Saccharomyces cerevisiae S288C: one gene and its partners. Changing the gene in region 3 together with the main gene of any one other region gives a genetic interaction. Each region holds a gene or a part of one and is shown on either strand. Other genes may lie near its edges. The genes, in order: GPX2, TSA2, AHP1 and GPX1.

What was found.
Region 1: mutations in AHP1 (region 3) and GPX2 impair growth when combined (synthetic growth defect), as found in Saccharomyces cerevisiae (one study listed by BioGRID).
Region 2: mutations in AHP1 (region 3) and TSA2 impair growth when combined (synthetic growth defect), as found in Saccharomyces cerevisiae (one study listed by BioGRID).
Region 4: mutations in AHP1 (region 3) and GPX1 impair growth when combined (synthetic growth defect), as found in Saccharomyces cerevisiae (one study listed by BioGRID).

Annotation. Positions count from the first base shown.
Region 1 is NC_001134.8:703,801-709,781, reverse strand, and holds GPX2 (glutathione peroxidase GPX2), read right to left. Parts: upstream 2,255-5,981; coding exon 1,766-2,254; downstream 1-1,765. Other genes in the region: chromatin-remodeling ATPase ISW1, read left to right, coding at 1-1,632; ALG7 (UDP-N-acetylglucosamine--dolichyl-phosphate N-acetylglucosaminephosphotransferase), read left to right, coding at 2,989-4,335; YBR242W (5'-deoxynucleotidase), read right to left, coding at 4,396-5,112; VVS1 (Vvs1p), read left to right, coding at 5,727-5,981. UniProt on the Saccharomyces cerevisiae protein: Glutathione peroxidase-like protein that protects cells from phospholipid hydroperoxides and nonphospholipid peroxides during oxidative stress. Plays an important role in the oxidative stress-induced response in the presence of Ca(2+).
Region 2 is NC_001136.10:1,363,280-1,369,500, reverse strand, and holds TSA2 (thioredoxin peroxidase TSA2), read left to right. Parts: upstream 1-3,838; coding exon 3,839-4,429; downstream 4,430-6,221. Other genes in the region: bifunctional K:H/Na:H antiporter NHX1, read right to left, coding at 115-2,016; GUK1 (guanylate kinase), read left to right, coding at 2,674-3,237; PPN1 (endopolyphosphatase), read right to left, coding at 4,599-6,221. UniProt on the Saccharomyces cerevisiae protein: Thiol-specific peroxidase that catalyzes the reduction of hydrogen peroxide and organic hydroperoxides to water and alcohols, respectively.
Region 3 is NC_001144.5:365,059-371,015, reverse strand, and holds AHP1 (thioredoxin peroxidase AHP1), read right to left. Parts: upstream 2,236-5,957; coding exon 1,705-2,235; downstream 1-1,704. Other genes in the region: YLR112W (uncharacterized protein), read right to left, coding at 1-225; YLR111W (uncharacterized protein), read right to left, coding at 293-625; CCW12 (Ccw12p), read left to right, coding at 918-1,319; YLR108C (uncharacterized protein), read left to right, coding at 2,892-4,349; REX3 (RNA exonuclease), read right to left, coding at 5,686-5,957. UniProt on the Saccharomyces cerevisiae protein: Thiol-specific peroxidase that catalyzes the reduction of hydrogen peroxide and organic hydroperoxides to water and alcohols, respectively.
Region 4 is NC_001143.9:388,880-394,103, forward strand, and holds GPX1 (glutathione peroxidase GPX1), read right to left. Parts: upstream 1,005-5,224; coding exon 501-1,004; downstream 1-500. Other genes in the region: TCD2 (tRNA threonylcarbamoyladenosine dehydratase), read left to right, coding at 1-26; PAN-complex poly(A)-binding subunit PAN3, read right to left, coding at 1,361-3,400; URA6 (bifunctional uridylate/adenylate kinase), read right to left, coding at 3,647-4,261; MIN9 (Min9p), read right to left, coding at 4,267-4,494; SKA1 (Ska1p), read left to right, coding at 4,842-5,224. UniProt on the Saccharomyces cerevisiae protein: Glutathione peroxidase-like protein that protects cells from phospholipid hydroperoxides and nonphospholipid peroxides during oxidative stress. Has peroxidase activity using thioredoxin or glutathione as a reducing power. Involved in peroxisome formation.

The DNA of each region.
Region 1 (5,981 bases), on a different chromosome or scaffold from region 3:
TTAACGTCAGCAGATGTCGTTGTCTTGTATGATTCAGATTGGAACCCACAAGCAGATTTACAAGCAATGGATAGAGCGCATCGTATTGGTCAGAAGAAGCAGGTCAAGGTATTCCGTTTGGTCACAGATAACTCCGTGGAAGAGAAAATTTTAGAAAGGGCTACCCAGAAGTTAAGATTAGATCAATTAGTTATCCAGCAAAACAGGACTTCTTTGAAAAAGAAGGAAAATAAAGCAGATTCCAAAGATGCTTTATTATCCATGATTCAACATGGTGCCGCCGATGTATTCAAAAGTGGTACATCTACCGGTTCAGCTGGTACGCCGGAACCTGGTTCAGGAGAAAAAGGAGATGATATTGATCTGGACGAACTTTTACTGAAATCAGAAAACAAAACTAAGTCATTAAATGCAAAATATGAAACTTTAGGTCTTGATGATTTGCAAAAATTCAACCAAGATTCGGCCTATGAATGGAATGGTCAAGATTTCAAGAAGAAAATACAAAGGGATATTATAAGTCCGCTACTGCTCAACCCCACCAAACGTGAACGTAAGGAAAATTACTCTATTGATAATTATTATAAAGATGTTTTGAATACAGGAAGGTCCTCGACCCCATCACACCCCAGAATGCCTAAGCCTCATGTCTTCCATTCCCATCAATTACAACCTCCCCAATTGAAAGTCCTGTACGAAAAGGAAAGAATGTGGACGGCGAAGAAGACTGGTTATGTACCGACCATGGATGACGTAAAAGCAGCATATGGCGATATTTCAGATGAAGAAGAAAAGAAACAAAAATTGGAATTGTTAAAATTGTCGGTTAACAACTCGCAACCATTAACTGAAGAGGAAGAAAAGATGAAGGCTGATTGGGAGTCTGAAGGATTTACAAATTGGAATAAATTAGAATTTAGAAAATTCATCACGGTATCTGGTAAATACGGTAGGAACTCCATTCAAGCCATTGCGAGAGAATTGGCCCCTGGCAAAACACTAGAGGAAGTTCGCGCATATGCTAAGGCCTTCTGGTCTAACATTGAAAGAATTGAAGATTATGAGAAATATCTGAAAATAATTGAGAATGAAGAAGAGAAGATCAAGCGTGTCAAAATGCAACAAGAGGCTTTACGTCGGAAGTTGTCTGAGTATAAGAATCCATTCTTCGATTTGAAATTAAAACATCCTCCTTCTTCTAACAACAAAAGGACGTACTCTGAAGAAGAAGATCGTTTTATCCTTCTCATGTTATTCAAGTATGGCTTGGATAGAGATGACGTATACGAATTAGTGCGTGATGAAATTAGAGATTGTCCCCTATTCGAATTAGACTTTTACTTCAGAAGCAGGACACCTGTAGAGCTAGCCAGAAGAGGAAATACATTACTGCAATGCTTGGAAAAGGAATTTAACGCAGGGATTGTATTGGATGACGCCACTAAAGATAGAATGAAGAAAGAAGATGAAAATGGTAAAAGGATAAGGGAAGAATTTGCAGATCAGACCGCTAATGAGAAGGAGAACGTTGATGGAGTAGAGAGCAAAAAAGCGAAGATTGAGGATACGTCGAATGTTGGAACTGAACAGTTGGTAGCAGAGAAAATTCCGGAAAACGAAACCACTCATTAAACCTTCTTTTTTTATATTTCGATTTTTTTTAATATATCCTACACCATGCTTCTGAAGAAAAATATATAATCATACTAATCTATAAATGTATTATTTATTGTTCCGGATAATTGCTTGATTATAGACAAAGATATCATTTACTTAACAGGCTTTGGATTTCTTGGTCCAAGGACGATGGTTTTGTTAAGGAGGAAAATCTTTGGACAACCTTACCATTGGAATCAACTAAGAACTTTTCAAAATTCCATTTGATACCCTTGAAACCTAGTAAACCTGCTTTTTGGCTTTTCAAATAATTATAGACAGAGTCAGCATTACTTCCGTTAACATCAATCTTCTTCATAATTGGGAATGTAACGCCATAATTCAACTGGCAAAATTCCGTAATTTGTTCATCAGAGCCCGGTTCCTGCTTCCCGAACTGATTACATGGGAACCCCAAAATAACAAACCCCTTATCTTGATATTTTTTGTATAGTTCTTCCAATTCTTTATACTGCGGCGTGAAGCCGCACTTGGAGGCAACATTAACTATGAGAACTACTTTGCCTTTCAGTTGGTCAAACTTAAAAGATTCGCCTTTCTTGTCCTTGCATTCTAAATCATAAAAAGATGTGGTCATTTTGAATTATTACTTTTTGTTGCTAATTGTATTCTTGTCAAGGTCAGCCATGCAGGGAAATGCAAGTTCTCTGCGCTACATCACATATTAGCAAATAGTAGTTCTTTATATATCAAAACAATAACAAAAGTACCTGCACATTTTTTAAAGCAGGCTGGCTTAGGGGCTTTGCACTAATACGGAGACAATGGAACTAATGCCTTTCACGATATGTGTGGCAGATATTGTGGTTTTAAACTCTTTGTCATCGGAATTACTAATTGTCTAGATATGGCCGGCCGAGTAGCCTCTAAAAAATATTAAACAGTTGAAAGTAAAATTGCTTGGAAAACACTACTGAGTCGTTGGTCATTTCAAGAGACTGCATCTATCAAAAATAGTCAAGATTTGTGTACATGTTCGTCGTACATTTAGTAAGTAACGTCCGTATTTTCCTTTTTTTAGCGGATGATGAGTAAAAAATTTCTTGTGGATTTATATGTTACGAATACAAACACAGAGGTTGATGCATGAATTTTTTCTAGCTACTACCATGTGTTTAATACAATAATAGTACAGGTTTCCTTCATCTCCTGTATATGGCCCTTTCCTTTTATATTGCCTCAATCTCGAAAAATGCTTTACTAAACAGCGCGAAAATTAAATTGTTAACATGTGTATATAACTGTGAAATATGTAAATAAAAACTTTATCAAGTAGAGCAAGGCGGAGAACGGTAACAAAAAGTAGACTATATGTTGCGACTTTTTTCACTGGCACTTATCACATGCTTAATCTACTATTCCAAAAATCAGGGCCCATCTGCTCTTGTTGCGGCCGTGGGATTTGGTATAGCAGGCTATTTAGCTACAGATATGTTGATTCCACGTGTGGGCAAATCCTTCATCAAAATAGGCCTATTCGGTAAGGACTTGAGTAAACCTGGCCGTCCGGTGCTTCCAGAAACAATAGGTGCTATCCCTGCTGCAGTTTATTTATTTGTAATGTTCATTTACATTCCCTTCATTTTCTACAAGTATATGGTCATAACCACTTCAGGTGGGGGCCATCGCGATGTCTCAGTGGTTGAAGATAACGGTATGAATTCTAATATTTTTCCTCATGATAAACTATCTGAATATTTGAGCGCTATCCTATGCTTGGAAAGTACGGTCCTCTTGGGTATCGCTGATGATTTATTTGATTTACGTTGGAGACATAAGTTTTTCTTGCCTGCCATTGCAGCCATCCCACTGCTAATGGTTTATTATGTGGATTTTGGAGTTACGCATGTACTTATTCCCGGATTCATGGAACGCTGGTTGAAAAAGACTAGTGTTGATTTGGGGCTGTGGTATTATGTTTATATGGCATCGATGGCAATTTTTTGCCCCAACTCCATCAACATCCTGGCAGGTGTTAATGGTTTAGAGGTTGGCCAATGTATAGTGTTGGCCATCTTAGCGCTATTGAACGATTTGCTGTACTTCTCGATGGGGCCATTAGCCACAAGAGACTCCCATAGGTTTTCCGCTGTTTTGATTATCCCATTTTTGGGTGTATCCTTGGCGCTATGGAAATGGAATCGTTGGCCCGCCACAGTGTTTGTGGGAGATACATATTGTTATTTCGCTGGAATGGTATTCGCAGTCGTTGGTATACTGGGTCATTTTTCAAAGACGATGCTTTTGCTATTCATTCCTCAAATCGTTAATTTTATTTATTCATGTCCTCAGCTATTCAAATTGGTCCCCTGCCCGAGACATAGGTTACCTAAATTTAATGAAAAAGACGGTTTAATGTATCCATCAAGAGCAAACTTAAAAGAAGAACCGCCAAAGAGCATTTTTAAACCGATCTTGAAGTTACTATACTGTCTCCATTTGATTGACCTGGAATTTGATGAAAATAATGAGATTATTAGCACCTCTAATATGACGTTAATAAACTTGACATTAGTATGGTTTGGCCCTATGAGGGAAGACAAATTGTGCAATACAATCTTGAAGTTGCAATTCTGCATTGGAATTTTGGCTTTACTTGGAAGACACGCTATAGGCGCTATCATCTTTGGCCACGACAACCTATGGACAGTACGTTGAAGATTATGTATTGGTAGTTACTTTGTACTTTTATGACGCAAAAGTTGGTATTTATGATAATTATTTAGTTATCGATTGAGTCAAATCGGCGAAGTATTTTTGGCGCTGCACGACAAGGTCACTTGTCCAGCCCTTTACTTCGTCTGTTTTTATGCTAGCTACAGCCCCAAAGAAATCATCGAAGTTTTTCGTTCCTTTGTATTCCCTCTCGTACTCAAAACATTGTACAAGCATTTCATATTTATCGATATCTTTCACGTATCTAGCTTCCAATGAGGTGACATTTTCATAAGCCAACCAATCGTCCATAATTTCCTTTGCCGCGATCTCATTGTATGGCTTGATCAGAGCATTACATAGATATTTTATGGTTTCCCATTCCCGACGATGCTTTTCTTCCTTCCCAATAGGGTCAACTGGAGTAATATCGCCAACTAAAGATTCGGCGATATCGTGCACCAATGCGATCCGGACACATTTATCGCGGTTAACCCGCGAATCCTTGATCAGCATGGTGATTATGCTCAATCTGTACATGTGATCTGATATGCTTTCACATTCTTTAATACCGAGGTCAAGATAACCGGTTCTTCTCTGAATTTTTAATTGCTGTACCACGTTCAAAAACGCCAGGATATAGTTTGGATGGGGTTTAGAGAGCTCATTTTTAACATATTGGGGTACTTGGCTTTCAGGCTTCCATTCAGTTGTTAAACGTGTCTTTCCTGCCTCAACAGAACCAGAGCATGATTTCTTATTTGTGATCGTTGCTGTCATATTTTTTTTATGTAGGCTTTCTTTGACAATTGTTTTTTATGAGAATAAAAATAGTGCAGAAGGTTTATTAGAAATGGAAAAGGTTTGCTCCTGCGAAAAAAACCATTCAGTGGGTATTTTCAGGCTTTATAATGACCAATGGACAGAGTAAAACAGTCTAATTATGATAAAACCATATTTATAGATTAAGACTTTTCTTTTATACGTTTCAGTAATGTTTTTTTTTTTTTTAATAAACGAAATAAATTTTTAACATCAGGACCGAAAAAATGCGATGAGCTTTTAGATCGACGAAAAGTGTAAATGATTTACCTAAATATATATATATGTTAGCGAAAAAAGCTTAGCTTCTGGGCACAGTGCTCGGTACACTTTTGGTAGAGCTGTAACGAGCAATGATACGCGGTCTGTAAAACGAACTTGCTTGTGTAGTCATACGTCGTAGGCGTAATGTAAGGTTGTCCGAGAAAAGATGGGAAGTGTGAGGGATGAAATGGATTTCCCTTAAAGTTGCTTCCTGATTAAGGGAATAACAGGAGAACAAAAGTTGCTGAATATCTTTCTCTCTTGGAACAACAACAAAACACAGAGACTAAGGCATAACAAACTAAGTCATGGCTGAAACTGAAAGACTAATGCCTAACGGTGGTTCCCGCGAAACAAAACCGTTAATTACGGGCCATTTAATCTTGGGCACGATAGTTGCTTGTTTGGGGTCGATCCAGTACGGATACCACATCGCAGAGTTGAATGCGCCTCAAGAATTCTTATCGTGCTCCAGATTTGAGGCACCAGACGAAAACATCTCATACGATGACACTTGGGTTGGGCAACACGGACTCAAGCAATGCATTGCGTTAACCGATTCT
Region 2 (6,221 bases), on a different chromosome or scaffold from region 3:
TTTAAAATGAATAAAGTGTAGAAGGGTATTCCTTCGGCGTTGAGTAAGAGAGAATGTATAAAGACTTAATTAATATATTTATATTAGAAACAAGGAAACCATACACTTTAAAGTCTAGTGGTTTTGGGAAGAGAAATCTGCAGGTGATTGCGTAGCCGAATCTTGTAAGGATGGAGAAACGTTGTCCAAGAATACTGGCTTCAATACCTGTTCATCAAAATTTTGAAACCATTGTGAGTCGGAATTAAAGATTGTTCCCAGTTTATCTCTCAAATTACGCTTATCCATAGAAGACCTTGCCGGGTTAGGGCTAGTATTCTCAGTTTCATTAAGGCCTCCAAAAGTATTACCACCAGTTGTGGATATGTTATTGGGGAGATTCTTGTTACTGCTGACCGCGAATTGGTCAATTGAAATATCTGGAGAATTGTTGTCAGAATATGGGCCCAAATCTGTCTGAATAGAACTACCGTTCAATAAATTTATCGCCCTTGGAGCCTCTATATCAAACTCGTCATCAGATGTATCTTCTTCACTTATGCAACCAGTCTTAATATTTAAAACTTCTAACATTCCTGCAGTAGTGCCCCCAAAAATGATAACTGTTAAAACAACAACAACAAGGACCGTTGCCAATAAAGTGAACTTATACTCACCTTGAATTCCCAACGCCAAGGCGACACCAACAGCACCACGTAAACCTGCCCAAAATGTCATCATTTGGTAATTGTAGGGTATTTCATCGGGAACAGAAATATTTTCTCCGGTTATGCCGCTCATAGATCTGATTGTCTTTACTCTATATATCCAGTTAACAAATTGCGACAATGGGAACACAGCACACCAACGAGCAACACATATAGAAATAGCTGCCACAATAATTAGCAGTGGCTTATAGACTAGTTCTACTTCAGTAAAAAGTTCTAAACCTAGATAGATAAAGATGAAATTCTCTGATAATCTTGCCAATAGTTGGAAAATATACTTAATGGTGATCTGTGATCTTCTTGACATGTTATAATAGGCGTAATGTTTTAAAGTAATTCCGCAAAATAACAAGGAGACGATACCGGACATATGGCAACCGTTGGAGAAAAAATAGGATTCATAAGCAATCAACAAGATCAAACAACTCTCAATTTGAGGATAGCGCCTTATGTGAGTGTGTTTCAACAGAAGAGCAACAAGAATTCCTATAAGAACGCCTATCAACAACGAAACGGAGAAAGTCATCAAAAAGAGGCCTGCCCCTTCAAAAACCGACGAAAATGTTGCAGGTTGACCATGAAATTTTTGACAGGTTTCAAACATAACAATAGAGATGGCATCATTTAACAGTGATTCTCCAAAAATGATGGTATATAGCTTAGGATCCACTTTATACGCATTGAAAATTGAAAGAATTGTAACAGGGTCGGTAGCAGATAATGTAGCACCAACAGACATTGCATCTGCGAATGAAATGTCAATACTCTCTAGTCCTAAAAAGGTCCAGATATACAATATGATTCCAATAACCACAGCAGATATGAAGGTGCCCGGTATGGCGAAAATTAAGATAGATAACATATTATTGAAAAAGTTCACTTGATTCAACTCGTACCCACTATTTAAAATAATTGGCGGCAATAGAACATTAAAAAAGTAGGATGAATTAAAAGTAACCGTATCTTGAATATAATGCCCGGGGGACATCCTTATTATCAAGCCAATAACCATACCATAAAAAATAGAAAGCACAGTTTCATGCACTGCCCTAATTCGTTTCTGAGTTAAATAGTAACTAGACCACAATGCAGAGATCAATAGGAGCAACATAATGAACAATGCCCATGAAGAGAACATTTCTTCTGTAACAGGGTTTAAGTCTACATCAGGATCACCTGCAATAGGGTCATCGCTACCCGGGAGATCCGGGGAAGGTAGAAGTTCATCATCATCGTCAGGATCAACTGCTCTCTTGGCGGTGGTTAACAGCACCTTGAAAGCTATATTCAGCAATACCTTGGATAGCATTTTTCATATGGTATGTACTGACAGCGATAAAAGATTATCCTCTGAATTTCACTGCTTGCAATCTATGTTTAATCTACAACTATTTGTCAATCTTGGGTGCCCTTTATCTTAGAGTAGCTAGAAAAGCAACGGAAACAGAAAAAGTCACACCGTGAATAATGATTGTTCGATATCAACTTTTGCAGTTCCTTGCTATCACGTTTGTGCAAGGTATATCATCTGTCATAATCCTTTGGCAAGACTACTGCTCTGCTACTCCTTGTGTGTGCTCACGGCAGGCTACAATGCAAAATTCATCCTAAACTCTGCTCTATAAGCATTAATAAGGTGAAATTTTCACAGCCTTTACATAAAAAACGACAGTAAGTGTATAAATGTGATTGTCAAAACTGCGACGATTCGAAATGATAGCTATTTGAAGTGTAGGTTATATCGACAGGAAGTTTCGGTTCTCGAAATATGTGATGCGTCTTTCCGGCGGCGTCGATGCTAATAGCAACCGTACTCATCGGTACATTCCAAATTTCGAAAAAAAGCTTGGAAACACATAAAAAAGAAAAAAAAAAATACATTTAGCATAAATGGATACACAATGGCGTTTCTTTTTAGTTGATAACTACAGTTTACTTCGGATAAAGATTAGTAAACCTTTGCGTTATGTCCCGTCCTATCGTAATTTCTGGCCCAAGTGGTACAGGTAAATCTACACTGTTGAAGAAATTGTTCGCTGAATACCCAGATTCTTTCGGGTTTAGTGTTTCATCCACTACTAGAACCCCAAGAGCTGGCGAAGTAAACGGTAAGGACTATAACTTTGTCTCCGTAGATGAATTCAAATCTATGATTAAGAACAATGAATTCATTGAATGGGCGCAATTCTCCGGTAACTACTATGGTAGTACTGTCGCTTCCGTCAAACAAGTCAGTAAATCTGGTAAGACTTGTATTTTAGATATTGATATGCAGGGTGTCAAATCTGTCAAGGCTATCCCAGAGTTAAATGCCAGGTTTTTGTTTATTGCTCCACCATCGGTCGAGGATTTGAAAAAAAGATTAGAAGGTAGAGGTACGGAGACCGAAGAATCCATCAACAAGAGGTTAAGCGCCGCTCAAGCTGAATTGGCATATGCTGAGACAGGTGCCCATGACAAAGTTATTGTCAATGATGATTTGGACAAGGCCTACAAGGAATTGAAGGATTTTATCTTTGCAGAAAAATGATGTAGCCCTATATAGACATTACTAAGTATGTACCTGGTAGGAGAGTGCTGTCGCAAAGCGACAAAACGTCCAATTATTCAATTAATATAGTGTAAAAGTTCTCAACGGGCTTATGCTAGTTTTTTTTGTTAGTAAGCGCTACGACGACTAGAACCATCTCTTGAATTTCCAAGTGCCAAAATCAATGACCACGGATACTGTGGCCAGGAATCTGTTGGTTGGTCATCCTCAAGATCTAGACAATATCATATTGGGCCAGTATCTGATTATCTTAACTATATGCGCCCCTCTAGTTTACAAGTTTTAGTCATTGGGGGTTGGAAGGGCTGATCCCCCCTTACAATTGGCGTCGTTTAGGAGCGGGCGAGGCTCTCCTTTCTCTTACACATCTGCTAAGGTGTTTGTTACCCGAGTAATCAAGGATCAACTATGGATGAGATTTAGATTAACGTATTTAGAGCAGACGATTGTAAGAATATATTTTGTAATTTCGATTGTTTTTTGCTACTTACATTGTTTATCTTGAAATATCCAAAGTGAACACTATTACTGTTTTTTGCTCAAGAATATATTAGCCTTACAAGAACGTAAAAAACCAATCATGGTAGCAGAAGTTCAAAAACAAGCCCCACCATTTAAGAAAACCGCCGTAGTCGACGGTATCTTCGAGGAAATTTCACTGGAAAAGTATAAAGGTAAGTACGTTGTTCTAGCTTTTGTCCCATTGGCTTTTTCATTTGTCTGTCCAACTGAGATTGTTGCGTTTTCCGATGCCGCCAAGAAATTCGAAGATCAGGGCGCCCAAGTTTTATTTGCCTCCACCGACTCTGAATATTCCTTACTGGCATGGACCAACCTTCCCAGAAAAGACGGTGGATTAGGTCCAGTTAAAGTTCCTTTGCTTGCTGATAAGAATCATTCCTTATCCAGAGACTATGGCGTTTTGATTGAAAAAGAAGGTATAGCTTTAAGAGGTTTGTTCATAATCGACCCGAAGGGAATCATTAGACATATCACTATCAATGATTTATCTGTTGGCAGAAACGTCAATGAAGCTTTGAGATTAGTCGAAGGTTTCCAGTGGACTGACAAAAATGGTACAGTTTTGCCATGCAACTGGACCCCAGGAGCCGCCACCATCAAACCTGACGTTAAAGATTCCAAGGAGTATTTCAAAAATGCCAATAATTAATCTTCGCACGATAACGCTAGGCCCTATTAAATAATTAAAAATACATCACCCTATATATGATAAGAAAGATGGTTTTGTATTATTATGAAATTGACTTGAAAGAATAGTGTAACAAAAGAAAAAGAAACTGTAATTGAAGAATGATATGCATTTCTATGTGTATATTAACTTAATCATCTTTATATCCAGAAGACGCAAATGACCATTCGACGTATTTTTCCCATGCAGGTTTGTTTTCGTATAATCTGCCTGCAAGATCCAAATAACTTCCTACTGTTAACGAATCCATTGAGTATGGTTTCTCGTCTGAGGTATATTCTATCTCATACCTGAAAATATCCTTAGATTCAACAAATGAATTATGTAATTCTTGATTGATTTTTTCCAAGTCGGCGTAGAATTGGACGAAACGCGTCGGAGTGAATAACTGCGGTACATATGCAGGGCCGAGTTCGTATTTGTCTGGCATCTCAATTGGCATAGTCTTGTCATTTTTCTTTTTCTTCTTGTTTTTCTTTTCGCCCATCTTCTCGCGGTTGATCCCAACCTCGATATTACTGCTGTCCATTTCATCTTCTAGCAAAGAGTCTTCCATAATCTTATTTAGTGACTCGAAAAATTCATCCCAGGGCTTATACTCCGAAACTGCAAAATTGGAGTCATTCACTATGTCGGTGATGTTATATTCCCAGATCCTAAAGGAAGGATTGAAAGTTGGAATGACTGAACCACCTATGTTCACAATGGAATAGCGTTCAATGAGCTCTTTTCTAGTGATTGGCTTTTTCTTTTTTTTGTCCTTCTTTTCTTTCTTTTTCTTCTCATTTTCAACATTTTTTTCATCCACTCTTTCCAGCTTATTCCACACTTTCCGATAGTATGTGTCGCGGACGGTGTTCATATATGCTTCTTTGTTAGATGGTTTCGCTCCCATTAAAAAAACTTCTTTTGCCGCCATAGCGTGATCCAGAATTCTATTCAATTCAGTTTCTTCGTCCTCTTCATTACTGTCTTCTCCTTGTTGAACACGAGTGGATTGCTCCATGGCTTTCAATAACGATTTTCTAGCTTTTTTACCATCCGTTGGGATGAAGTGGTCAATATTCATGTGACCGTATAATCCTCCAATGATTATATCCCTGTATTCGTGAGTCCATAGCGTGAACTTATCGTAGCACGACTGATCGAAATTTTTTGCGATTGGAGGTACATGTCCACTTAACCATACTTTCATTCCCCTACTCCTTAGTTCTTCTAATACATAACCGAACCAAAGTAAAAGTTGGTAACCTGGTTCTTTTTTTGAATTACAATTGTCAACTAACGGATTGGCCTTGAATAAGTACAGCGTGTTAATTGACAGGACAGCAAGCTTCCCTGGAATAACTTCAGTCAAAAATGAAGCACTCCTATCAAAAGTTCTTTGCTGCTGCTGCGGAACAAAATTTTTCCAAATCCTATAATATTCTCTAGTTTGTAGAGTTGGTCCTAGTGCAAACATGTTATGTGGAAAGACATCATTGTTTCCAAGACTTGGAATGACAGACACATCAAAATCTCTTGGATCTTCTTCATTGCCAGCACTAAATAATTCTGTCATTTTATCAGCAACGATATTGTTCATATCAAAAATTTGTGCTTCTGTTCTTGGATGTTTCCGGTCATTGTCATGTCTGATATTATCACCCGTCCAAATGACAAAATCAATCTTATCTCTAAGATTTTCTTTAATCCATCTCAGAGTTTCTTCCATTAAAATAACGGGAGAATCACATCCAGACATTGCCTTCCC
Region 3 (5,957 bases):
CAGGTACAATGCGGACCCTTTTGCCACAAAACATACATCATTCATTGCCGGAAAAAGAAAGAAGTGAAGACAGCAGTGCAGCCAGCCATGTTGCGCCAATCTAATTATAGATGCTGGTGCCCTGAGGATGTATCTGGAGCCAGCCATGGCATCATGCGCTACCGCCGGATGTAAAATCCGACACGCAAAAGAAAACCTTCGAGGTTGCGCACTTCGCCCACCCATGAACCACACGGTTAGTCCAAAAGGGGCAGTTCAGATTCCAGATGCGGGAATTAGCTTGCTGCCACCCTCACCTCACTAACGCTGCGGTGTGCGGATACTTCATGCTATTTATAGACGCGCGTGTCGGAATCAGCACGCGCAAGAACCAAATGGGAAAATCGGAATGGGTCCAGAACTGCTTTGAGTGCTGGCTATTGGCGTCTGATTTCCGTTTTGGGAATCCTTTGCCGCGCGCCCCTCTCAAAACTCCGCACAAGTCCCAGAAAGCGGGAAAGAAATAAAACGCCACCAAAAAAAAAAAAATAAAAGCCAATCCTCGAAGCGTGGGTGGTAGGCCCTGGATTATCCCGTACAAGTATTTCTCAGGAGTAAAAAAACCGTTTGTTTTGGAATTCCCCATTTCGCGGCCACCTACGCCGCTATCTTTGCAACAACTATCTGCGATAACTCAGCAAATTTTGCATATTCGTGTTGCAGTATTGCGATAATGGGAGTCTTACTTCCAACATAACGGCAGAAAGAAATGTGAGAAAATTTTGCATCCTTTGCCTCCGTTCAAGTATATAAAGTCGGCATGCTTGATAATCTTTCTTTCCATCCTACATTGTTCTAATTATTCTTATTCTCCTTTATTCTTTCCTAACATACCAAGAAATTAATCTTCTGTCATTCGCTTAAACACTATATCAATAATGCAATTTTCTACTGTCGCTTCTATCGCCGCTGTCGCCGCTGTCGCTTCTGCCGCTGCTAACGTTACCACTGCTACTGTCAGCCAAGAATCTACCACTTTGGTCACCATCACTTCTTGTGAAGACCACGTCTGTTCTGAAACTGTCTCCCCAGCTTTGGTTTCCACCGCTACCGTCACCGTCGATGACGTTATCACTCAATACACCACCTGGTGCCCATTGACCACTGAAGCCCCAAAGAACGGTACTTCTACTGCTGCTCCAGTTACCTCTACTGAAGCTCCAAAGAACACCACCTCTGCTGCTCCAACTCACTCTGTCACCTCTTACACTGGTGCTGCTGCTAAGGCTTTGCCAGCTGCTGGTGCTTTGTTGGCTGGTGCCGCTGCTTTGTTGTTGTAAACTTAGTTTATTATTATTTATACATTCTAAATTTTTTATAAACTTTTTTGGCATTTAACAAATATATAACAATTGGGATTTAGTAGAAATTCTTTTAATTTCTTCTTTTTTTTTTTAATCTATATTTATTCTTTTTCTTTAATTTTGTTCGAAACGCATATAATGTTTTTATTGATTTTGTTTCAGGTTCCTGAACCTCGCGGAGTTCCTATTTTACTGTTGTTTTTTTTCAAAACACAGGGGTACCTTGAAGTATACGCAGTGCCTCTTAGCCAAGGATAATATAAACACACTAGAACAAAAAAAAAATACTCCTTGTACAGAATCGTTTTCTATTTTGAATTTTTTTTATATAAACATGGTTTTATTGTCTATTACATAGCATCTACAAATGAGCCAAGACACTTTCGACTGAGGAAACGGTCACATCGGTACCTGGGTTGGTTTCCTTGGCAGCGTAAGTAACGATACCGTTTTCAACAACCATGGCCCATCTACCACTCCAGTAAACACCGTCACCGACGGCTAATTCGAAACCAATGGATTTGGTGAAAGCACAGCCTGGGTCGGAGGCAAACTTGATGTGTGTGGTGTCCTTAACACCTAAACTCTTAGCCCACGCTTGGTTAGCGAACGGGTTGTCAACAGTAACAACGATCACTTGGTCAACTTCCTTTTCCTTAACTAATTCATCCAAGTAGTTGATGTAACCTGGAATATGGCTGACAGTACAGGTTGGGGAGAAAGCAGCTGGAGCACCGGTAATGATAACCTTCTTGTTTTCAGAAATTAATTTGGACCATTCAACTGTTTGTGGCATCTTACAAGATTCACTGTCAGCATCACTTTGGCTGATAGCAATGTATTGGAATTTGTAGTCGCCAGCTGGGAATTTCTTGTTAACTAAGTCAGACATGTTTTGTTGTGGTTATTGGTAGTACTTGTGTTGTTCTGGTTTGTTGAAATTTCGTTATAAAGAAACGGTATATGCACAATTGGCAAGGGAGAGGAAATTGTGCTCCTTTATATAATGTTTCGTTTATGCTTTTCCCTTACATCTCGTCCTTAATTTTCCACCCCTTTATTTTTCATTTAACCTCTCAACAATATGTGAATACCGTCCGGAAGGGGTGTGGAAAAAGAAAAAGAATGATACAGAAGAAAATCAAAAGATGATATTCAACTTCATCACCAAATACTGACCTTTTTGGCCAGAGCTCCCCGTATAATTACAAATCAGAAAAAATCCGCGCTCACTACCTTAACGGAAGGAAATATTCCACATGTCGGATTAATTTTTCTCTGGTCCCATGACCATGTGCCGAAATCTTTTCAGTGACGTCAGGACCGGTTTTTCCGAGAGCCCCACAGGGGACGCCGATGATTTAGGGTTCTTTTCTTGATTACTAATAGACAACATAAGCGCAATAGATCGAGGCCAAGGTGGTGGTTTATAAATTGTATTACCTTAAAGGCTCATTATTAGCTTGAACACGAATATCCAAAGAACACGAACAACTTCAGGACGTGGATAGACAAGTGTAAAGTCACTCACACGCACGCTCATATCAGATGTCTGGCCAAAAGGGCGAGATCGTGGTTTATACAAAAGAGTTAGAAACTACCCCCGAGCTTTTACCAAACCATGAAGTTTTCAAGATTAGGATTGGCCAAAAGCTATTTGAGATCTCAGGTGCTACATTGAATTCGGATGCGCCCAATTTTTTCACCCAATTCTTCAATACGCACGATAAAAATACGATTCTATTTGTTGATAGATCGGAAGACGTGTTCATCATAATATACAGACATTTACAAGGTTATTTTCCCGATATTAAGAACGAAGTACAATTTACCTGTCTTTTCGCGGACGCATTATATTTTCAGTTACCCAAGTTAGTTAAACTCATAAAAGAATACGACTACCACTTCACTAATATTGGAGGTGTTCCCTTTAAGGTACCAAAATCATTATTCCATGAAGAAGGGAACCGGTTGAACTATTTTGAAACGATTTCTCGCATATCTTATGAGGAAATTGAGAAGTGGGAGTCAAATAAGAAGCCGGGCTTTCCACCTTTATTACCACCCTCATATATTGCAAGGTCCCCAGAATTTTTCCGAGATATATTATCTTTACTGGGCGGTTCCAAATTAGAACTGTCTGAGGAAAGAACCGCATCTCTGATAAAAGAGTGTCGTTATTACCGTCTCAACAGGTTGGAGCAGGAATTAGTGCGGGCAAAAATTATATATAATCCCTTAACTAATTGTCAAGAAGTTTGCATAGCTCTTGATAGCGTCTCCAAGAAGGGTGTAACCATTGAAAGGTTAACATCACTTCATACCGGAAACCAATCTTTAGCGGTAAGCAGTTGTCTCAATGGAACTGAGGGTGAAAAAGCCGCTACTGGATTTCATAAAACCGAGACTGATTCAGGCAACAATGATGAATATGAACCTCCAACAAAAAAGGTAAAACATTGTATTGAAAGACACTGGAGCATGTTAAAATACCAAAGGCCTTATATCGATACAGTTTCGCACGATCTTATTTTCCAATTACACTCTAACCAGTGCAAAATAATATTCAACAAAAAGAATAAGACTGTTCATGTAGACCTATCCAGAGAGGCTGCAGTGTTGTTTGAAAACAAGTTCTCGGATGTTTTATTGGAAAACCCAGATTTTAAAATTGATCTGTCCGAATATAAGGTCAAACTTCGTGACAGTCAAATGCAAGTTGAATCCCACTTAATTATTCCTGCATGTGTCTCCATTTGTGACTTGACGGTAAATGGCGCAAAATGCTGTAATATTTTCTCATTAGTTAACGACTCCAAATGTAAAGGGAGGGTCTTGGATTGCACCAATTTGAAAGTTTTGAATTGCGTTCATGGTTTGAAACTACACTTATCGAAATCCATGTGGAAGCTAGGTACAAATAATGGAAGAATCATTCTCGTTGCTGTAAAAGCCGAAACCTTCTCTGGGACGAAGGAATATTGCAAAATGATTGATTTTCTGTGAAATCTTCAATAAAAAAACCTTTCTCTTCTGTTTGACATATATAATTTAAATGGATCGTTCAGAGTATGATCGTACCATTGCATAGCTGTAACAATATTCACATTCATAAAGCACATAAGTACTAATAGCATTCTTACGCACTAAAATGAATCACGCGGTCTTCTATGTTCAACCGATAGCAAAGGCTTAGGTTCGAACGCGAGACAATTTTCTATTCGAGATGTTAGTTATCTATATCATACAGGAAGATAAAGATACACTGCTGTACGCTGGGTATCTTCAAATGTACAAGTCACGATACTTCACTCGATGATAAAAAAAAAACGAAATAAATCTCTTTGTAAAACGGTTCATCCTTATGCAGGGGAACTGCTGATCATCTCTGTATTGTTTCAAATTGACCAAATGTCCACGAAGGGTTACTTCGCGAACACATAGTTGCGAAAAAAACATTTATTTATAGTAGCCGAAAATAGTGGACGAAATACTTTTACCACTGTTCATGCCAGGCTGTGTTGAAACTGTTGCAATGAAACTCTAAAGTATCATCGATTCAGTAGTATTCATGCTACTGGTATAGTATCACATGAGGTCCAGGAAGATGACATAAAAATTGAGAAACAGTCATTAAGTCTAATGGAAGCTGAAATGCAAGGATTGATAATGTAATAGGATAATGAATTATATAAAACTAAAAGAGGAATAATCTCAATACTATTATGTAGAAATATATCGATTCCATTGTGAGCATTCCTATATCCTCGGAGAGAACATTTAGTATCTTCTATATACCTAATATTATTGCGTTTACGAACAATGGAATCCCAACAATTATCAAGTTATTCCCCCAATTCTCAGACAGTCATGGTAGCAATATAAATTCTGAAATTATATTGTGTACAAATATACGTATAGCATTTATTAGTGCTGGAGATTATAAATAACAGAACTATTATGGAGAATTATCGATCATACTTTACCGTTTAGATGTTTTATGTTGTCTTTTAATGCCGCATGCAATACTTTTTTAGATTAAACTTAAAATTAACTTGTTCTGGTAATTACTGACGGATAACAGGTACTTCTTTAAATAGGATTATGGTGCTTCAGCTATCATCAAGTTTGGTACATCCTGAACCCAATTTCACGATATTTTAATATTCAGATATTGAAAAGGTGCATTATTATTGTTCGCTTAAATACAGAAAATAGGAAAGCAATACGAAATCATTACTTTTATCATGTTGTTTCTTAACGTAATTACTTAATAAAACTCATGTGAACCGTATGAAATGTAATAACTATATATGTCTGCTCAACTTTGAATATGATCACATTATTTTTCCCACTTGTTTTGACTTGGAGAAATACCTATTTTGACTTTAACAACGTCCATCGTTGCTATTGCATCTTGAGAACTATCATGCTCGCCATTTTGGATTTTTCTACTCAAAACTTCAAACGCTAAGTTCTTCAAAGAAACCTTAAACTTTGTTCTTGAATAAAGTATTGCAGTATCTATAACCTTATTATGAAATAGCCTCATGACGTTCAGATCGTTCTCTAGTCCGTGCCCTATAAGAATACTATTTTTATTTATTAAGTTTT
Region 4 (5,224 bases), on a different chromosome or scaffold from region 3:
AAGCTTATTACTCTCAATTCAGATGATCTTGTTCCTTTCCAACATATAAAGCATTTTCTTCCATAGAGTTACGTACTATTCCAGGAGGCTTTTCGGACTCATACCATATAGAAAACTATTTTTATGCTTCTTCATTTACTTCTACTTGTTTATGTTTATTTGTAAAATTACATTATTTAATTTCTTGAAAGTAAAAAACTTGAATTTCTGAAATAAATAAAAACTAGAGAAAAATTAACGATGAGGCATGCGACGGAAATCAATATTGAAACTTCTCAAAGCTGAACCACTGAAAGGGTTCTTTAGGACAATTTTCATTCCCTTAATCAACAAAAAATGACTAAAACCTACATATTCTTCTTAGAAAAAATACATACGCAAAACAAGATAGAAGAGCAACTGTTGATACGATAGCAAGGGTGACAGAGACTATTCAATTATATGTCTTTTATTTTCATTCTTATCACCACTTTTCCGTTTTCAACTTCGTTGACCGCAAATTAAATCTGTTCTTCTGGTGGTTGATTCAGTAATTCTTCGATTATTGGACAAAGCTCTAGTGGCCTAGTCATGCATGAAAACCTTTTAACCACCTTCCCATTTCGGTCTACCACAAACTTTTCAAAATTCCATTTTATCATTTTTATTCCAGACTTCCCGCTTACTGAATTCTTTAAGAACTTGTAGACGGGATCTTGCTTTTGCCCGTTGCAACGGATCTTATGTAGAATAGGGAAGGTTACACCATATTTATCTTGACAGAACTTATTAATCTCTTTATCCTTCTCGAACTCTTGATTTCCGAATTGACCACAGGGAAAGGCCACAATCACTAGACCATGTGATTTGTATTTTTCGTACAAGTACTCTAATTCCTTGTATTGAGGTGTGAACGCACAATGAGATGCTACATTGACTATCAAAACCACTTTGTTACGCAGGGAGTTGAAGGGGAATGGATTTCCGTTTTCATCTATTGGTGAAAAAGAATAAAATTCTTGCATCGTTACTTATAAATATTGTGTTTCTCCGCTTATATTCCTTATACGGGTTCACAATCAGAGAACCTCGCCGTGCACAATATCACCTACATGACTAAAATATATTTGTACATTACTGTGTTATATAATCACTTAATATTGTTCACCATAAGCAATCTCTGTAGTAGAGGTGAGCCCCGGCTTTAAGTTCTCTTAGATGTGGCGAACAAGGGATGAATCGCTTACCCTATAGAATTAGGGAACAGAAGGGGAAAGCAAATACGGAAAATTTTCCACATGAAGACGGTAGTGGGGTATGTCAAGGGGATACTAATGTATAATTAATATATATGTGTGTATCTACATTATTTGGTGTTGTTTTATTGGGTGATGGATCGAAAGGTGGATTCTATCAAGTCCTTCAACTCCTTATAGGATATAATAATACAGTTTAACTCATCGGGCGTTACCAACATTAACTTTTCTTGAATACCAGCGTCTAATTTGTTCAAACATCTTAGGACATGAGTTAAATCCATTATTGGTTTCCCATTCGAATCCACTTGATGGAATACGTAGTCATAAAATAGTATAATGGGGAATTTAGTCCCAGATTCGGACCAATTTATGTCTATTCTTGATTCGATTCTACCAAAAATGCAATTTAGCTTGTTGACCAGCCTAAATAATCTGCCATTTTCTAGTTCTCTTGATAAGACAGACTCCATGTATTCTGTATAGGTTTGTGACGATTCCAGGACCATGAACATCTTATCATAAAAGTGACTAGTAAGATCATGAATGCTCTTTTTGGAATCGCCGTTGTCTGATATCAGATACTTGAGTACATCCTTGAACTTATCATCGATCTGTCTCATGTCATCAATTGATTGAGGGGTTATTTCCTCCAATCGATATTCTTTAGGGGCAGTGTTGTTATTAGAGTTTTCAATATTAATGGATAGGTTAAATAATAGCTCTCCTAAATATTTGTAGTCTAGCTGTTGTTGTCCCTCTATGGTACTTCCGCCGGAAGATACTACGGTATCAGTATCATCATTGAACAAAAGGTCCATAAAATTGCAGTGTGATAACTTGATTCTCCCTGGGTCCCCAGTAATCAAAACTTTTCTCCAGTTTAATGTATTGCCAATACTCAAGTTTTGTGAATGGATAGAGTTTATTACATTGGTGAGTTGAACTAAATATATCCATAAATAATTATTCGTTATTGGAAACTTAGGGAAATTAACAAAGTGGTAATCATACAAAGATAGCGAGTTTGGGTAGTAGTCAAAGACCAAACAAATAGACAGATCACCAAATTTAGTAGTTTGAAAAATGTCCCTAAACTTTATCAAATTTGTACAATTAATTTTTGACCATATCTGATATATTTTGGATATTTTGTTTGGATTCATTGACTTATCGATGTTAGGAAGCCTCTTCAAAACGTAGGCTTTACCGTCATAATTGGAAAAAACTTTGAAGAGCGTAGTTTTATTTAAAAAATCGTTATTATTGAAGTTCAATGGAACCAAATTAAAATAATCTTGTACAATACTTGGTATAACTTTACCTGAAGAGGGGAAAACCTGCAAAATCGATAAGTTTTTCTTGGTTAAATCTTCTCTAATATTGTTTGGAATGAAAAGCTGATCTGCAGACCTTTCATTAGGCTTTAATAATGATTTCAATGATGATGGCTGTTCAGGTGCATATAGGTGATACTGTAGAAGACTGTGAGGAGGCGGATAAATACGTGGGTACTTAAGATTACTACTCTCTATGGGTGGCGGTTGCATAGGAGGTGGCACATTATTAGCCATACTCATATTGTTACTATTATCATCAGTGGCGTTTATATTTATGCCACCAGAATTTGCAATGGAGGGAAATGGAAAAGAATGTGCATTTGCATTAGTGTGAATTGAGGAGGTTGAAGACGGAGTGAAAATGGGGGCATTGAAGGGGTCGTAATTGGAACTCGAAGCGGTAGTTGGTATTGATATGCTTATATTACTATTATTGTTATTGTTATTCACTAACGAGCTATTAACTATCGGATTAATCATCGGATTAACTGTAGAAGCAGTAGCAGAGGTAGCTGCCATGGCGATATTGCCAGTAGCATTTGTAGCAGCGGAGGTGGTATTCGTCACAGTGGTTAAGGAGTCACTACCGACTGTCATCGGAGTGAAACTTGCGGATACTTTAGCATTGAACTTAGGAACTGATGTCATGGTCGGAGTTGTAGCCTCACCCACATCTATTGGAGGAGGAACGTCATTTATGGTAGTAGCGGTAGTGTTATCGCTGTGTTTGAAAGGGCAACCTTCTTTCTCCTTTTTGCAGTAGCCATAAATAGTGATATTTCTGCACGGAATATCCTTCGCCCAATCAGGATTGATTTTGTCCATGGCGTAAGATACGTCTGACTAGTCTTTTAGGCTTACCTATCATCGAAACAGTGCTCCCGCCATTGTTATTATTGCTCTTTTAATTCATAAACCAAATAATTTAGCAGTTTATTTTAAGGTTACCCTGTAAAGGTCTGATATGTAGGGGAGGGCATATAATCATTTTAATATATATGTATATATTCTTACATATATATATAATATCGCCGTAACTTATAGCGTAAACTATATAAAATACGTCTTAGTCTATAAGCTATCACGGATAGCGTCTTGGACGTCTTTGTACACATCTTCGACGGATCTGTCGCAACGAACACGGACGACTTTCGATTTGGTTTCAAAGTACTCGATGACGGGCATACTAGTCTCCTTGAAAGTGTTAAATCTCTTCTTAATGGACTCAATGTTGTCATCGCTTCTACCACTGGTCTTGCCACGCTCCAATAGTCTCTCTAACATGATATCTTCAGGGCAGTCAAAGAACAGGATGAATTTGCTTTCAACGATGTCTCTTTCAAAGGAAATGGCTTGATCCATCTTCCTAGGAAATCCGTCAATTAAGAACTTATGCTTGTTCGCCTTGACGTTATCGGAAATAGCGTTGCGTAAAAGCGCCAAAGTAATCTCTTGAGGGACAATCTGGCCCTCTTTGATGCAGTTCTTGATCAATTCCCCATATTGGGAACCTGCTCTGCCCTGCTCAGCACGTAGAAGGTCTCCGGCTGACAAATGGACAAATGAATAGTCCTTAACTAGTTTTTCACACTGAGTACCCTTGCCTGCACCGGGTCCTCCTAGAACGAAGATCACGGAAACTTGGTCAGGCGAGAAAGCTGGCTGTGATGTAGTGGCAGCTGTCATTTGTCTTATTCAAGAAATTCAACTGGTTCGTTCTTTTGATAGTTTACCGAAATAACTGATGTCACGAGTGCTAAAGTTCCTACGAGTACCAACAATTTGCCTTTGTGTTTACCCTTGCTTTGACTTTTGTTAGCGCGTGGTACGTTTACGTTGGTCTTCGAAGGTGCTGTATTGTGGAAAGTTGGTTTTTTCGAAGAATAAAATCTCAGTATAAACCTGTAGCGTGGATTCATAATATAACTAAGCTAACATAAAAACGGGAGAGGGTGTGTGCGACTAAAGGCAAAGACAGGAATGCATCGCTTTAAAAGATCACCATAACTACTTAAAAGTTTCGTTAACGTGGTGAAAAAGAAAAGAAAAAGAAAAGTGAAAAAAATAAACCTAGGGTTGAAAATATAATCAGTTAGGTGTCATGATATTGATACATTTATTTCTATAGGTCTGAGAGTACTAACTTAGGGTATATGAGGGGTGTTAAGTTGGGATGATGACGCATTAATTAAGAGTTCATTATATGAGGATATTGTATACAATGCAAGAATAGCGCCCCAATCCCGGCCAGGTATAACGTGCAAGCATGAATAAAGAAGAATTATTGGGTTTTCTACTAGATGACAGTATTGATAGCCAAAAAAGATGCGTCACGGATCAGCAGGCCTACTCTAATTGGTTAAAGAATGATAATGATGAACGTACGGCCCATGAGGAAAGCTCTTCACAAAGTACGATAGCCGCATTGAATAAGAAGAAGCAGACAGAAGCTGCTCAAGAAGATATAGAAGAACTGTTAAACGGCTTAGAAGGCATTATTGGAGGAGCCGACCCCCGTAATCTCAAGAGTAAGTCAAAGAGGAAAACCAAAAAGGGCGGATCGAAACCAAGGGAAGAAAACGTGAATACGGAGAAACATATTGTAATGCTCGAGGTAGAAGATTTTAGTGATATGAGCACCCACGAAGA